2 linked regions of the Alligator mississippiensis genome follow. The protein of the gene in region 2 interacts with the protein of the main gene of each other region in a biochemical or structural test. Links are inferred from orthologs where the notes say so. Each region holds a gene or a part of one and is shown on either strand. Other genes may lie near its edges.

Region 1 (6,982 bases), on a different chromosome or scaffold from region 2:
AGTTAGAGGAATAAACTATACCACTATAAGCAACTTTCTGGTGGGTTAACTCTGTTCACATGAAGGGGTTGTACTATTTTAGCTAGATAGGTTTCACAGCAATATAGTTAAAGCAGCACAAAAACCACACTCAGGGGTAACCCTAACACTAACAAGTCCCATCAGTCATAGTAAGTCACAACTTGCAGTCACATCTGGTGCAGTTCTGTCTAGATGGACAGAGATGAACTTAACCTTGATTAAGTTCAGCAAGAACTAACAGCTCTCTCAACACACACACAAACACACTTTGGATGAGTTCTGTTCTTAGTCTTCTTCCCACCTCATCATAGTGGGTGGATTTAACTCACCTTCAGGCTACGGATATTGGCAGCATGGGCATCTGACTTCAGCATGACCTGGATGTCTTGGAGGGTCTCCTCTCCTGATGGACGAGGACGGGTGACCTCATCAGCCACTTCTTTTGCTGCTTCTTCCAGCTGTTTAGGAAATAATACAGCTTATACTGACACACCACTCTGGTTAGCTAAATGGCTCGTGGCACACCAGCTCTTAGCTCTAAATAAAATAGTCCTTGGTGTGTTCCCTTCTACGGTATTCCCCATCCTTACCAGCTGTAGATGCTCTGCAGGTTGCTTATACAGGTAGTCTGCCAGGTCCTCATCAAAGCTGGCCAGGTCCTCCATCTCCACCTCAATCCAGTACTGACCCAGGTTGTAATGCCGTTTGAGCTCATCCCTGCAAGATGAGGTAGGAGTAAGGATTTGTAGGCAAAAAAGCACCAAGCAAATTTTCTTAAAGGCCTGCAACTTGGCAAGCCCAGAGGTAGGGAACTGTAACAGAAGAGAAACTATCACACAAAACATTCAAAGTGGCCCTCCAGCTATGTAGAAAGCAGATGCGAAACGCTCTAAAGCAAGGGTGTCAAACATACAGCCTATGGATTGAATCCAGCTCATGGTGCCCTGCCATCTAGCCCCTGGGTCCAATTAAACCAGGGGTGGGCAAAACACGGCCTGCCAGGTCATTCTATCCAGTCTGCGGGGCCCCTAAAAAATTTTGAAAATTAATATTTATCTGCCCCTGACTGCATGTCATGCGGCCCTTGATGGCTTGCCAAAACTCAGTAAGTGGCCCTCTGACCAAAATAATTGCCTGCCCCTGAATTAGACTCGCATGGGGCACTGTGTATGCCTGTGGTATGGGGCTGGTCTTCAGGCCAAGTCCTGCCCATGGACTCCCATCCCCTCCCTCCCTTAGCATACCTGATTCAGTGGCTGCTCCAGCCAATCTGGGACCTGCACTGCACACGGGACAAATCCCAGAGTGGCTGGAATGGATACTGCATGCAACGCACACAGCCTAGGTCCCAGACTGTGTGGAACAGCTGCTGGATCAGTATGCTGGGGAAAGGGAAAGGAAGAGGGACCCATGGGCCCTATCTGGCCTGTGGGTGGGTCTGTGCCACTTATGTGGCCTGCAGGGCTGGATAAGTTTGGCACCCCTGCTCTACAGGTAGTCTTTTATGGCAGGAAAAGTAACAAGCCCTCTATGGTGGAAGCAAAAGGAACGGAAACTGCTGGACAGAGGTAACATCCATGCTAATACTTTTTCAATATGGATCCTTATGCACAAATGGCATTGGACAAGGGGCAGCTGTGGCCACAGTGGTTATCAGAGTTTAACATTAATGTGCACCAGCATCACACCAACCACAGCCCAACAGTTTAAGTACAAACTACAGTATAACCTCATAAACCTGGATATCAAAAATCCAGAACTTGAAATCCGGCACTTTTTAAAACTCCACTCCATCGGAGAGTAGCAGCTGCCGGTCCCAGAGCAGCAGAGGGGGAAGCTTGCACGTGGTGGCTGCCACTACCATCCACAATCCTCTGTCACTCCTTCGCATGTGGCCACTGCTCTGGGACTACCTGTTCACAGATCCCAAAAGGCATGGGCTGGAAACCCACGACTGATTTATACTAGAGACAGAACTGAACAGAACCCCAGGGATGACAGGTCTGAAACTTGGCATTCAGATCTAGACCCGATTTTGCAGGGCGGGCCCTTGGGAAACAGCATAACCCAGGGGATGGGGTACCAGACAGGTTAATTTGCTATGTCAAGGGAAATGTGGCCCTAGGCCCACAAGGCAATTATAAGCCTCCCTTAATCAGGGAGGCCACTAGAGGCAATTGATCGCATGGGACAACTAGAGGGACAGAAGCATGGGTCCCAGGTTTGTAAGGATCGTCCAAAAGTGGGGGGAAAGCGGATCCAGATGGGAAGAACCGGGCTCTATCCCTGGCTCCGCCACTAGCTTGACACCTGGTTCCTGGCAAAGTGGTGGGCCCCTCCAGGCTTCAGCTTCCACCTGGGTCCCGACAAGGATAAAGGTATTCGTTCTCCTGCAAAGAGCTCTTTAGAAGTGGTGGAAGAGAGGGCTCCAGAAGAGCTAGCCGTGGCCCGCGGGAGCACGCAGCAGGAGGAAAGCGAACAGCGGCAGAGCGGGAATGGGCTGGAGGGGCCCTCAGAGGTGGGGGCCGCCCACACCTGTACTTGAAGGTGAAGCCAGTGCGGTCTGTGCCCACGCGGTACTGCCGCAGGAACTCCTTGAAGCGCTTCTGAAGCTGGGACTTGCGGACCTGCCCCTCGTCCGCTGCCGGGTCACCCCCAAAGCTGTCGCTGTAGTAGATGCCGGGGTCGTCGAAGCCGGACATGGTGGAGGTTGCTCCTGAGTGCCGGGCAGAGAGAGGGGACCATTAGCTCGGCATCCTGCGGTGCCTGCCACCCGCTCGCGCCAAGCCCCGCACGCAGCCTTGCTGTCCCGCGTTAAGGAGGACTGGGCCCCTATCCCGGACCAGCCCCTCCCTCCGGGAGCGGCGCCCACCCGCACCTCCGCTCGCCCCCAGGAACCGACCCGCTGCGAGCACCGATTTTACGCGGCAAAACCGAAGAGACGTCACAATGGGACGGTCTACGGCCCAAGCCCCTATTGGCCAGACACTCGCCCGCCCCCTCTGATTGGCCCAGCCAGGTTCCTCCCATCCCTTTCCGCACAGGAAGCGCGCGGCTGGGTTGCCATGGGGGTGAGAGCGGATTGGTGGAGACGTTGAGACCCCACCCCTCTGCCCTCCCCTAGCTGGGGCCCGGAGCAGTTTGGCGCGAAAGGCGCGAGGGAAAGGGGGAGAGCATGGGCGCAAGATGGCGGCTGGACGAAACCATTCTGAACGGGCATATGGGGGGAGAAGGGAGGCAGTCGCCTGGACGGAACCATTTTGTTCGGGGGGAGGGGGGGAGCCAACCAGCTCTGTGGCAATGCCCAGAGAGGCTGCGTGTGACTGGCGAGGTGGGGCTGCCTTACCTGCCCCCTTGCTGGGGACCCGGCAGTCCATACTGTGCGAGTATGGCCCATTCTTACACGTCCAAGTTAGTTACGCTGACCTGCCTCCTCAGCAGTGAGTGGAGTCACACGAAAAAGAAACCTTGAGCTGGGAGCGTGCAGGACAAGCAGGCTCGGGCTCAGCCCCACCTCCCGTCCACACCTCCGTGGCCCCTTTCACCCCAAAACTATATTATTATTATTATTTTTTATTTATTTGTTTTTGTTGCCAACTTGGGTACATGACCTACAAGACAAAATGAGGAGTTAAATAAACCCTCAGAAGGAGCAGTGGTCTCAAGTTGCAGCAAGGGAGGTTTAGGTTAGAGAGTAGGAAAACCTCTCTCACCAGGCGGGCAGTAAAACACTGGAACAGGTTACCCAGAGCGGTGGTGGACTCTCCATCCTTGGAGGTTGTTAAGACCCAGCTAGACAAAGCCTTGGCCGGGATGATCTAGCTGGTGCTGGTCCTGCTGTGAGCAGGGGGTTGGACTAGATGACATCCTGAGGTCCCTGCCAAACCTCATAGTCTATGACTCAAAGTGTCACAGTCCAACGGGCTAAATGTCTCCCCTGGAAGCCAGCAACTCCTGAGTCCTAAGTGGTTGCAGCATCGTTTTGACTGAGAGGTCGTTCAGCTTCTCTATGGGACTAGCCCAAAATCTGGGAAGTTAGCGCTCAGCCTGACCTTGCCTAATTCATGGGGTTTTGGGTTAGGCCTTCTATTGGTAACACGAGGATTGCCATAGAAAAGATGCCGTCTCCTTTTTGGGGGGAACACACATCTTTCTGCAGCTGCTTCTTTGTTTGCTGTATGTAGTGTCTTTCGAATCCGGGTGCAGGGCACTCATCAACAACGCACAATTTTCTGTGTTTGGCCATGACTGCAGCTTGAGTTTTTATGCTCTCTGCATCTGTGAAGCCTGGCTGCATAGCCACTTGAGCCAATCCAAAGCCTATTTGGCAGAGCCCATATACAGCACAAGGGTTGAAAACAGGTGGATGAGCAAGAGGGTTGATGATAGCTAACTATTTTGTTATCACTGATGAAAACCGTTCTTCCTAGCGTGATTCCGGATATATATGCTGCAAGCACCGAGGGCATCTTGATAACAGGTGAGCTGTAGGTGGATTGAAGAGGTCAGTGTACAATAGCTATTTGGTGCTGGCACAGATCATTTCTACCAGCTCCAGAGTAGATTGCTTATGACAACCGTGGGGTGGCGCTGTGTTGCTAAGCACTGGCAGCTATGATGGACACATGGGCTCTCAGGGATCTGAAACAACACAGTCATGTGCACTTGGATATCAACACTGTAAAAATAAAACAGCACCAACCTGGAATCTTGTGTTCTGTGGCTGAATAGCAGATGGCAAATGTGAACATCTAGAAGGTGTATGTACTAATTGCCCATGTTAAGCCATTTGTCTAAAAGATTATTATTTGTCCTGACATTGTTTTAAATTTTTAAATATTTGTCCTGACATTTTTAAATATTTCTGAAAACTCAGAGGCCAGTCCAGGGTCACACACTCATACACTAGATGTGACTTAAGTTTCAGGTATTATGCATTAAGTAGCGTGCTAGGTTCGTGGGTGGCAGGAGCACCATGCAGACGGAATATACACCTCACTATTTTGGTTGCCCTTAATTGAAGACACCACCCGCTACAATATTTATGATGCAGATTGGCCAGGTCAACACTCAGAGTAGCATCTAGGTCAGCAAATGACTACACTTCAATTCTGAAGCAGATATTGTCATATTATTCATAAATAACCTTTTATAAGTGGATGTACATTGGTATGGAGATTATACAATGAGGATGAAAGCCCAGAGCTGCATGGTTGGCCACTTGTTTTTTTTCATGTATTTGTCTTGTTCCTTGGGTGCCCTCTAAACTGCCTCTCATGAAGGACCAGTTCAGTAATGTCAGCCACTTGCTGCAGAAGAACTCTGGCATCTTGACCAAGACACCAGTGTGTCCAGGAGTGAAGGAATGAGTGGGAGATGGGGTAGAATATGTTGTTTACTTAGGGAGACTTGGGTGGCTAGTTTGTGGAAGCGTTCTGTTTGTCGTGTTGAATTCATATAGAAGTTTATTATTGTACTTAGAGGGAAGTTCTTAGGATTGTTGGACTGAGAGGGATGATGACTGGAACGCAAATGAATTGTGAATGACTAAATACGAGTTTGGTCTAAATTTCCTGCTTTTCAAACTTTAGGGAAATAAGCAATTTTCAGTAACAAGCTTTTTCCAAAACATGTTCAGTTCCAAGTAGGCAGTGCTGGTCTGGATATCAAGGAAGGGCGTGGGGAGGCAGGGTAGGTTCGAACTTTAGTTTGGAGCCAGTCATCAGCAGACAGCTCTCCCCAGTATTGCTCCCCGTAAGACCTCCCTTCTGTGATAGCTGTTGGCATTTGACAAGATCAGGAGCCAGCAATCACCAGACAGGTCAGCTATGAATACTTGTCTATAGGGACTAAGGAGGCAACTGGAAAAGGCAACCTCAGGAGGACTGGAGAGGTGATCAAGTAGGAGGGGCCCTGAAGTAGGAAGAAGACCTTGCCAACACCTCTGCTTTGACATATCTGCAAGAGCATCTTCCACAATCACTTGTTTATAAAATTAAGCCTGACGTGATTATAGCCTGCAGCCAGAGTAGCAACTGGCCGCCTAGTCAGGCATCCAGATTTCAGTCGGGGAAAGGGAATCCTTTTCATACTTGCTACTCTAGCAAAACTGGTTACTGGTGCTGTCCTCAGCTATCCACACTAGGCACCAAATCTTGTCACTGGACAAGATCATGTCATTAATAATCGGTGTTGGCTTCCATGGTAAGTAGGGTGGGTCATGTGGTTGCATGGTGTTTTTGTTCTGTTGTTCATGTTCTTCTGTTGTTCTGCCATGTTGTTCTGTAGTACACAATCAGTTGCTAGTTTGGTGTCAGCATGAATTTAACTTTTTTCTTTAATAATGTATTTCTAATCAAGTGAAGTTCTTAGCAAGGCACTTTTAAGAGCTTAATGGGGCTAGGCTCTCAGTGACTGCATCAGAAGGAGCATTGCCAGTTTGTAGCAGCTTAGGATCTGGCTTGCACAATGTTGAGGGAGTTTGGCTCACCACCTATCTCTCTTTAGTGGAAAAAAGCCACGTACCTAGCTTTAAAGCTTTCCCTTCTTAGATTTCAAATGCTTTACACATGGTTCTTAAATTATCTCCATTTTATATATGGAGAAACCATGGTGTAGGACAGTAGTTCTCAACCTTTTTGAGATGCAACCCCCCCCCGAAAGTGCCAGCTCTTAGCTTTCACCTTTTTTTTACTACAAAAATAATAGAACCTGTTGCAAAGAACTTAGATGACAACAGGTCAGAATGTTTTTTGACACTATGTAAAATCTCTGGGTTTATCTTGTGAATCATGCATAGATGTATGCACATCTAACAATACTAATATTGCAGCTACAACCTTGAGAATCACTGGCATAGAGGGTCTCTAGGGAGACTTGCCTGAAGTCACACAACAGCAAGTTAGTGTCACAGCTGGGAACAGAGCCCAGCTCTGCTAACTCCCATTTCTGTGTTTCATCA
Region 2 (7,541 bases):
GCAACATGAAAGAAACACTGCCATCTCACAGCAAAACAAGCAAACATCTTTTCTGGTACTCAAAGCATTCACGCTTTCAAAAGAAACATGTAGGGCATGCTTTGAGGTAACAGAAGCTTATCTGTACAGGAGATGACCATGGGAAAAGATAAGCGCACGGCTTGTCCAGGCAACCAAATCTCCAAATTACTGAAATAACAGTACTGTGCACCTTTCATTCAAGGTCTATTTGATTTTCTGAATCAGTATTAACTGCATTGTCATATTAGGGAAAAATACATTCAATGTGAAATATAGTTACTGGAATTACAATCATATAAAAATGGTAACCACGGACTGAACATCCACACCATAGCATTTGCTTTTTTTTTTTTTTAAAGTAACTGTATCCAACTTAAAGTTTAACTCAGGGGTCCCACACAGCTGTATAAGAGAGGAAAAGAAATATTTTATTCCATCCCAGGTACTAGTAATGCCTAGCAGTTCAGTCAGTTAAAAATGCAATTGGTGATAAAGTTTTAGTTACAAAATGTTTTTTTCCTTGAAACACAAGATTCTTGGTTCTCAATGTGTTTTGAAATTGGAAAAATACTTGTGTTTGTTGTGGTGGTTTTCTTTTTACTGATAAACTGAACATATTTAACTTGAGGGCCAAGAAATCCAGAATTCCATAATACCATTTTTATAGTTATCCTTCAGAGTAGACCAACAATTTTGGAATCAAGCTAACTTTTTCTTGTATATGAAGATCAGATACATGCTAGCTGCCTAATCTTTGAATACAGAATAGGGGCTTAGACTGACATAATATGGTACAGTTTGTAGAAGATTAAAATAAATGATCTCCCTCAACCAAACTAAAATATGAAATTTAACAACTATTTCTCCAATCATTTAAAGCATCAAAAGCTGTAACAGATCATATAACCTGATCAGTTTGAAAGTGCTTAGCCAGAAACTTCTGGTATACACTTATTTATCTCTAATTTTAGACTAGCCAGGGCAGATTTTTATACCTTAATGAATACATTGCAGATGATTGCATTTGTCAGCTACTGCCACCTAGTGGGTCATAGTACAAAGTACACTGAAGTCAACTGCATGAGTTTCAAAAGACTTTGGATCAGGATCTTACACTTTTGATTTTTGGACAGATTTTTCACATTTCAGTGACTTTGCAGGTAAGCCAAAGTAGGGATTTCCAGTGTCTCCAGTGTCTTCTTCAGCCTGGTATCAGCAAGTTCTAAAAGTGAAAAACCTGGCAAACAATAAATCATCATCACTGATGCAAAAGGAAGGAAATTTAAGGAAAGACTCCTAAACAATCTCACCCAGTTAGTAGCATTATTTTCTTTTAGTTTCTCTCTGAAGTATTCAGTTACTTTTTTCTCCCATTCAGGATTTGGACCACTTTGGGCTAGAAAAAAAACCAAAAAAAAGAACTGTATTTAGAAAAGCAACTGGACAGTACTTCGGAGTTTTATGTACCACTCTGAACCGGAGTGAAGTAAACACAGTTTGGCAAGGTAACGACATTTTTATGGGAGACTTGTTCCTGCACACGTGCACATTATGACTATTTTAACACCATGTCTTCCTCCGTCTCTTAACGATAACAGCAAGCACATCACTGCTTAAGTGAGACGAGGCTCAAGAACTCGGGACTACAAATACGCCACAGACCAGCAGGCAAGGAAGGGGCGAATCAGCCACCTTTCTTACTTTCTGTGCACACACGGTCACGTTTTTGGAAAGCTTGTTTCAGCACAAGTGCTTTTCCAGAAAATAAGCCATACATGGATTAATACCAAGTGCAGGATTGGCAAAGCTTTGTCTGTTGGAACCGTAACGAGATCAAAACGCAGAACTGGCAGTGAATGAACTCGGCAAGGGTTTTGCTGCATTTTAAAGGTCCCAAATGCATGAGCAGAGTTGAAGGTTTCATTTTCAAAATCGTTTCTAACATCGTTTGCTTGGCTAGAACAACGTAATAGAAGAGCATTTCTGATTCCAGACAGGAAGATATTTCTGACACCTCTCCCTACTTGCTCGCTGAGCTTACACAAAGCCCAGCTCCTCACGTTGGTTTGGAGCCCGATGCGGACGGGGATCAAACCACGCATACGCGCCTTAAGAAGTCCCTACATCTCTCTCAGACAGCCTCGCTTGCCTTCGCGTCTCCGTGCCATCTACTTCGGAGGTGCAGAAGCCGTGGCTAGCTAGCTGTTCTCACCCCTCTCCTCGGTACACCTCGCAGGGTGTGCGCAGACACACACTTGATGCCCCAAGGTGGGCAGATGCAATAAATGTTACACTTTGAACCCCAAGATCCTAGATGCACGTGCAACTTTAGACCGGAACGTTTTACAAGCACCCTAGAAAAAACACGTATGATTTTGAGCCAGTCGTCCCTGAAGCGGTTCAGTGTTAGGTGTGGACATAAAGCACTCTGTGCCTCGTGTCGGTCAGCCCGCCAGCATCCCAACCCGCACCGCTTGGGATGGAGCGCAGCCAGGACGCCCATCCTGCCCAAAGGTATCCTGCTTGCAGAGATCACAGTCCACAGGTGTTTTGGGGCTCGGGGGGGGGGGGACAGAAACCCTCCACATCAGTGTTGCTTCCCTGCTTGGAAGTGGAAAGGGGGTCTCAGGGTTATTTGAGACCGGTCAAGTCCCTGCCCCGTGTGAAGCGCATCAACCCTTCGGCCCGGCCCACACCGCCCCCCTCACCCGCGCCGAGCACGCGCCGCCCGGGCAGCCTGCGGCGTGAGGCCGACACCGGGAGACATCCCTCACGCCGCCCCGCCCCGCAGCCAGGCCAGGCCAGGCCGGGGAAACTGAGGCACCCCCGCGCTGGCCCCATGGCAGCCGGCACGAGGCCGCCCCGCTCACCGAAGAGGCCCTGCACGAGGCGCAGCGGGCTGTTGAGCCAGTCGGCCACGCACGGCATGTTGCGGGCGGGCGGGAGAGCGGGCGGCAGCACACGGAGCCCCGCGCCGCCGCCAACTTCCTGCCTCCCGCTGCAGCAATGGCGGCGGGGAAGGGCCCCGCCCCGGGCGTGAGGCGCTGAGGCCGGCGCCGCCATCTTGGAGCCGGGCAGCGCTGCGGGCGGAAGGGGCCGTGGGGGCGGTGACGCCCGGGGACGTGGACGTGGACGCGGACGCAGACATGGCGGCCGCCAAACCCCCCGGGCCCGGCGGCACCAACCTGCTCTTCTCCTCCTCCGCCACCGAGTTCAGCTTCGCCGTGCCCTTCCTCCCGGTCAGCCAGGCCCCCGCCGACACCGCCCCCGCCCCCGCCCCGGGGCCCGCCCTGCTCGGCGCGGGTACGTGCGGGAGGGGTCGTGGGGAAGGGGCAGGGGCAGGAGAGTTAGGTAGCTTGATGGGGGAAGGGCAGTGGGGTTAGGGGGCTCGATGGGGGAGGGGCAATGGGGGAGGGGCAGTGGGGTTAGGGGGCTCGATGGGGGAGGGGCAGTGGGGGTGGGGAATCAATGGGGGAGGGGCAGTGGGGTTAGGGGGCTCGATGGGGGAGGGGCAGTGAGGGTTGGGGGATCAATGGGGGAGGGGTAATGGGGGAAGGGAGCTTCCCGGTGGGTAATGCGGGGAGGGGGCTCGGTGGTGTGGGTGGGGGAGAGGCTGATGGGCGCGATGGGGCGGTCGGTGGTGGGGACAGCCTTGGAAGGAAGTTTGGGTCCTGGTAAAGCTGGCTGGTGGAGGAAAGCGAGCAGGTGAGTGAGCACCTGGCCCCCTGTGGGGTTTTGGATGCTCAGTCCCATGTCCCGCACACGGCGCCTTCTGGGGAAGTGGCCGGGGCCTGGCGTAGGTTAGGTGCGGCGACGGCGCGGTGCGTCTGCCCTGGTGCCCGTCGTTGTTTCCTTTGCAGAGGTCCCATTGCCCAGGGTGGGGAGCAGCAGGGGTTTAGTGCCATGGGCACTGCGCAGCGTGCACCATTGGGGTGCACGGCCTAGGGCCTGGGACAAGGCTCGCCCAGCATTACGTGTTTCCCCAGACCCAGCGTGAGCAGTGCTCCTTAGCTGCAGGAGGAGCCTTTCGCAGCTCATTGAAGCCAGGCACCTTGTTTCTCTGATTGGCTTATGCCTCTGATAGCAGGCTTGAAGTTGACAGGCCTGTTTGTTATTAAAGCAGCAGTGGGCTTATGCCTATAAACCGCCCTCAGTTAGGGAGGCAACTAGCTATATAAGAAGAGGTTCTGGGGACAACAGAAGAAAAAACAGGAACTTGAGTTTGCGTCTGTGGTTAATAATGATTGTTGCAAGGAGGGGGACAGCAAGAAGAGCACGCCAGCCAGGGCCCACTGCCCCGCAAACAAGTCCAAGGATCCTGCGGACGCTGCTCAGTGAAACTGCCTGGAGTTGTGGATGGATGAGGGACAGGAAAACAGCGCCGCAGTCTCTGGGGTTCCCCCTGAGCAGAGCCTCCTTCCCTGTCTGATACATGGCTGCTGGCTCTTGACATTGACACAGTCGGGTTGTTCAAGGCTGCTTTAAAAGCTTGGATACTGCTGGGTCCCACTCCCTTTCCCAAATTATGCAGTTACCTACAGCGGGACCAAAAAGTCACTACACAAGTAGCATGCAACTGATAGGCAGACAACTGAAGTTTGTTACAGTGTAAGCAAGAGGCAAAACATTGGGACCTGTGTGGTGCTGTGCAATAAAGTGAATTATGTGCTTACCCTAAGTGCTCAAGTGGTGAACATTGTAGCTTATGTAGTTATGTGACCCTGGATGTTACTTCAGTGCCATGGGCCTTCTTGGCTGATCCTTACTTGTTGGTCCATTGCACCACCTAATCAGAAAAGTCGTGAAAAGACAGTTCTTCTCTTCAGCTTTCCACTTCAAGTTTGCCTAGGTCAATTATTCCATCATCTGCATGCTGTCCTGCCTCAAGTCAATTGCCAAATGTCATACCTACTCGGACTTTTAATTTGACCTTAACTTCGTTCTCTGTGCTAACTTTCTTTTCCATCTCCTATTTTCTGTTCACCAAACCTTAATAGAAAATTCTCTATGAGCTGCAGTTTCTCCTGTGTGTCTTTTAGCTATACATTTGGGATGTTTGAGGAAACAACACTTTTTGTAATATTTTCAGCTACCTGTTTTAATTCTCGTGTAGCTGTTCCCAGCTGGGTACTTTGTGTAGAAGAATAATTAATGGTTCCACTTTAATGTTTCCAGCATGGTATGATGAGCAGTCCTCAGAGGAGTGTCCCATGTCATTCTCTGCCCCTGGAGTCAGAACTTAATCAGTTCATGAATAGGCTATAAACAAGAAAAATAGCATGCTCAGCATGTGCACTTTAATTTCCTTATTAACTTAAGTGCATAAGTGTGATGATGATTTTTTTTTCCTGTAGTCGCGAAGGTGTACTGACAGGTACATGCACAAATAAGCATGCTTAAGTACATCTATTTGAATTTGAAATTCCCAGTTAGTATAACTTCAGGCAGTGCAAAAATCCCTGAAAGTATGGCCAATGAAAACATATCTTTTGCCTCTTTTAATATTCTTTGGGAAATACAAAATGATATTAGTGTAATCCTATAGAGAAATTAAAATACACAGGGGCCAAAAAGTTAAGATTTGGATCCATCAATGCTATGATTCAGCCCATTAAACATTTATTAAGACACTAAAGATAATATTGGATAATCAGGAACTGAATGCATCCTTTTAGTTATTTATTTACTTTTGTATAACAGGTTTGGTTATAATAATTTTAAGTGAGGCTTCCAGTTTTCCCTTTTTGTCAAATAAAAGCATTAGATGAGTAAGAAGATATAAGTACACTGGGTTGGTGAACAGCTGATGTCCTTGACAATGGATTGTCTGAATGAACTGCACATACTTAAAAAAAACCCATGGGCACCTATACACATGCAGCAAGGCTGCTCTGATGCGCTGTAATTATAGTGCATCAGAGCAGAGTCAATTAATTGAGTCTGCTGGAGTGTGGTAATTAATGTGCTCCAGCAGACTCCAGTGTCTTGTGTATTAGCATCCCCGTGCTGAAAAATTGCAGCAAGGGCCCTTTAACTAAAGCTTGTTCAACAAGCTTTAGTTAACGTACCCCACCACCATTTTTCAGTGTGGGGACGCTGATGTGCAAGATGCTCCGAGTGTTTTAATTAGAGTGGCTCTGAGAGCCGCTGTAATTAAAGGGCCCCCCTCTCTCCCCTCCCCACTCCCTGAGCATGTGTATAGACGCCCCATGTTTCTACAGTCCCCATGGCCAGCTCCTTTCTTCTGGGCAATATTTGTTAACTTTGTAGCAGTTACACAAGTTTTTCCCCAAAAGAGCTGGCTATTTTCAAGCCCTAGTAATGCAAATATTTGTTGTAAGTGGATGCTAGGTGAATAAATGATATGCCACACTGTAAATATATCTGGTAATAGGAGTCCATCCCATAGAGCTGATAAAAATTCTTGATCAAAGATGCATTTTGCTTTAGACATTAGTCAGGCATAGATTTCCAGGTACAGTGTATTGAAAACAAAAGGCCTGCTAGCCAGGGTGCATATCACTGCCTGACTCCTGCAGGATGGTTTTAGGGGTATGATGGAATGCTGTACTTGTCAGATTAAGGTTTGGTCCTGCTTGATGCTCTGCCTTTGTGGATCCTTGGACCCCTGCAAAGCTCTGTTGACATCATAGGGATCATCTGCACAGCATGTAGAGCTAGGGGTCATTTTCACATTAAAGGAAGAAGCCTTTCAGTTATTATAAACCATAGTCTTCTGGAATCAAAACCAAAGTGAATTGCCAGATACTATCTGGAAATAAGGTGCCTTCATAAATCTTTTGTCTTTAAAAGCTGGCAGCTTTTGGAGAAGGAAGGATGCTGTCTTTTGCTCAGCTTCAGAAGAGTCTGTATCGGGGCGGGCAATTATTTTGGGCAGAGGGCTGCTTACTTAGTTTTGGCAAGCCATCGAGGGCCACATGACAGGCACCCCAGGACAGATAAATATTTATTTTCTAAATTTTTTAGGGGCCTCACGGGCCGGATGGAGTGGCTTGATGGGCCTCATTTTGCCCACCCCTGGTGTATATCATCCATAGGAGCAGAGTTGAGCACACTAAAATGGTACATTGCTTTGAAATGATTGTTGGGCAGATGGCCTTGGTTAAAGATGTGGTCAGAACTACTGTTAAAAAAGGACTGCAGCATATGAAGAAAAGTCGTTAATACAGTTATATATTACCATTATATGTGAACACAGTTGTTTTTGTGATCAGCCCTTTTTTCTGTTGCTGTCTTACTGTATATCAAATGGCCTTCAAATTTACATTCAAGGTTAGTTTGGCAGGTTTAATATTGGGAAGAACTAGATTTGCAAAATTTCTATCAGAAACTTTTCTTGTGATTTTCAAAGAAAACATTGTTAGCTATGTACTTTCAAACAGCTCTGGAACATAGAATAAAAGTAGTGTTTTTTGCAAATAAAAATTTAGTGGTGTTAGAAATCCTTTCTTGTCTCAGATATCAGTAATTATAATAATCTATATATGACATTAAAGAAT

What was found.
Region 1: the proteins of MCMBP (region 2) and MCM5 form a complex in vitro, tested with the Homo sapiens proteins (2 studies listed by BioGRID). The link is inferred for Alligator mississippiensis from reciprocal best matches to the Homo sapiens genes MCMBP and MCM5.

What each region holds. Positions count from the first base shown.
Region 1 is NC_081827.1:101,598,370-101,605,351, forward strand, and holds the start of MCM5 (DNA replication licensing factor MCM5), read right to left. Parts: upstream 3,007-6,982; 5' UTR 2,924-3,006; exon of another isoform or gene 2,900-2,923; intron 2,847-2,899; exon of another isoform or gene 2,738-2,846; 5' UTR 2,724-2,737; coding exon 2,557-2,723; intron 739-2,556; coding exon 612-738; intron 480-611; coding exon 351-479; intron 1-350. UniProt on the Homo sapiens protein: Acts as a component of the MCM2-7 complex (MCM complex) which is the replicative helicase essential for 'once per cell cycle' DNA replication initiation and elongation in eukaryotic cells.
Region 2 is NC_081829.1:87,094,697-87,102,237, reverse strand, and holds the start of MCMBP (mini-chromosome maintenance complex-binding protein), read right to left. Parts: upstream 3,037-7,541; 5' UTR 2,950-3,036; coding exon 2,892-2,949; intron 1,418-2,891; coding exon 1,332-1,417; intron 1,243-1,331; exon of another isoform or gene 1,136-1,242; intron 1-1,135. Other genes in the region: SEC23IP (SEC23-interacting protein), read left to right, coding at 3,168-3,324. UniProt on the Homo sapiens protein: Associated component of the MCM complex that acts as a regulator of DNA replication.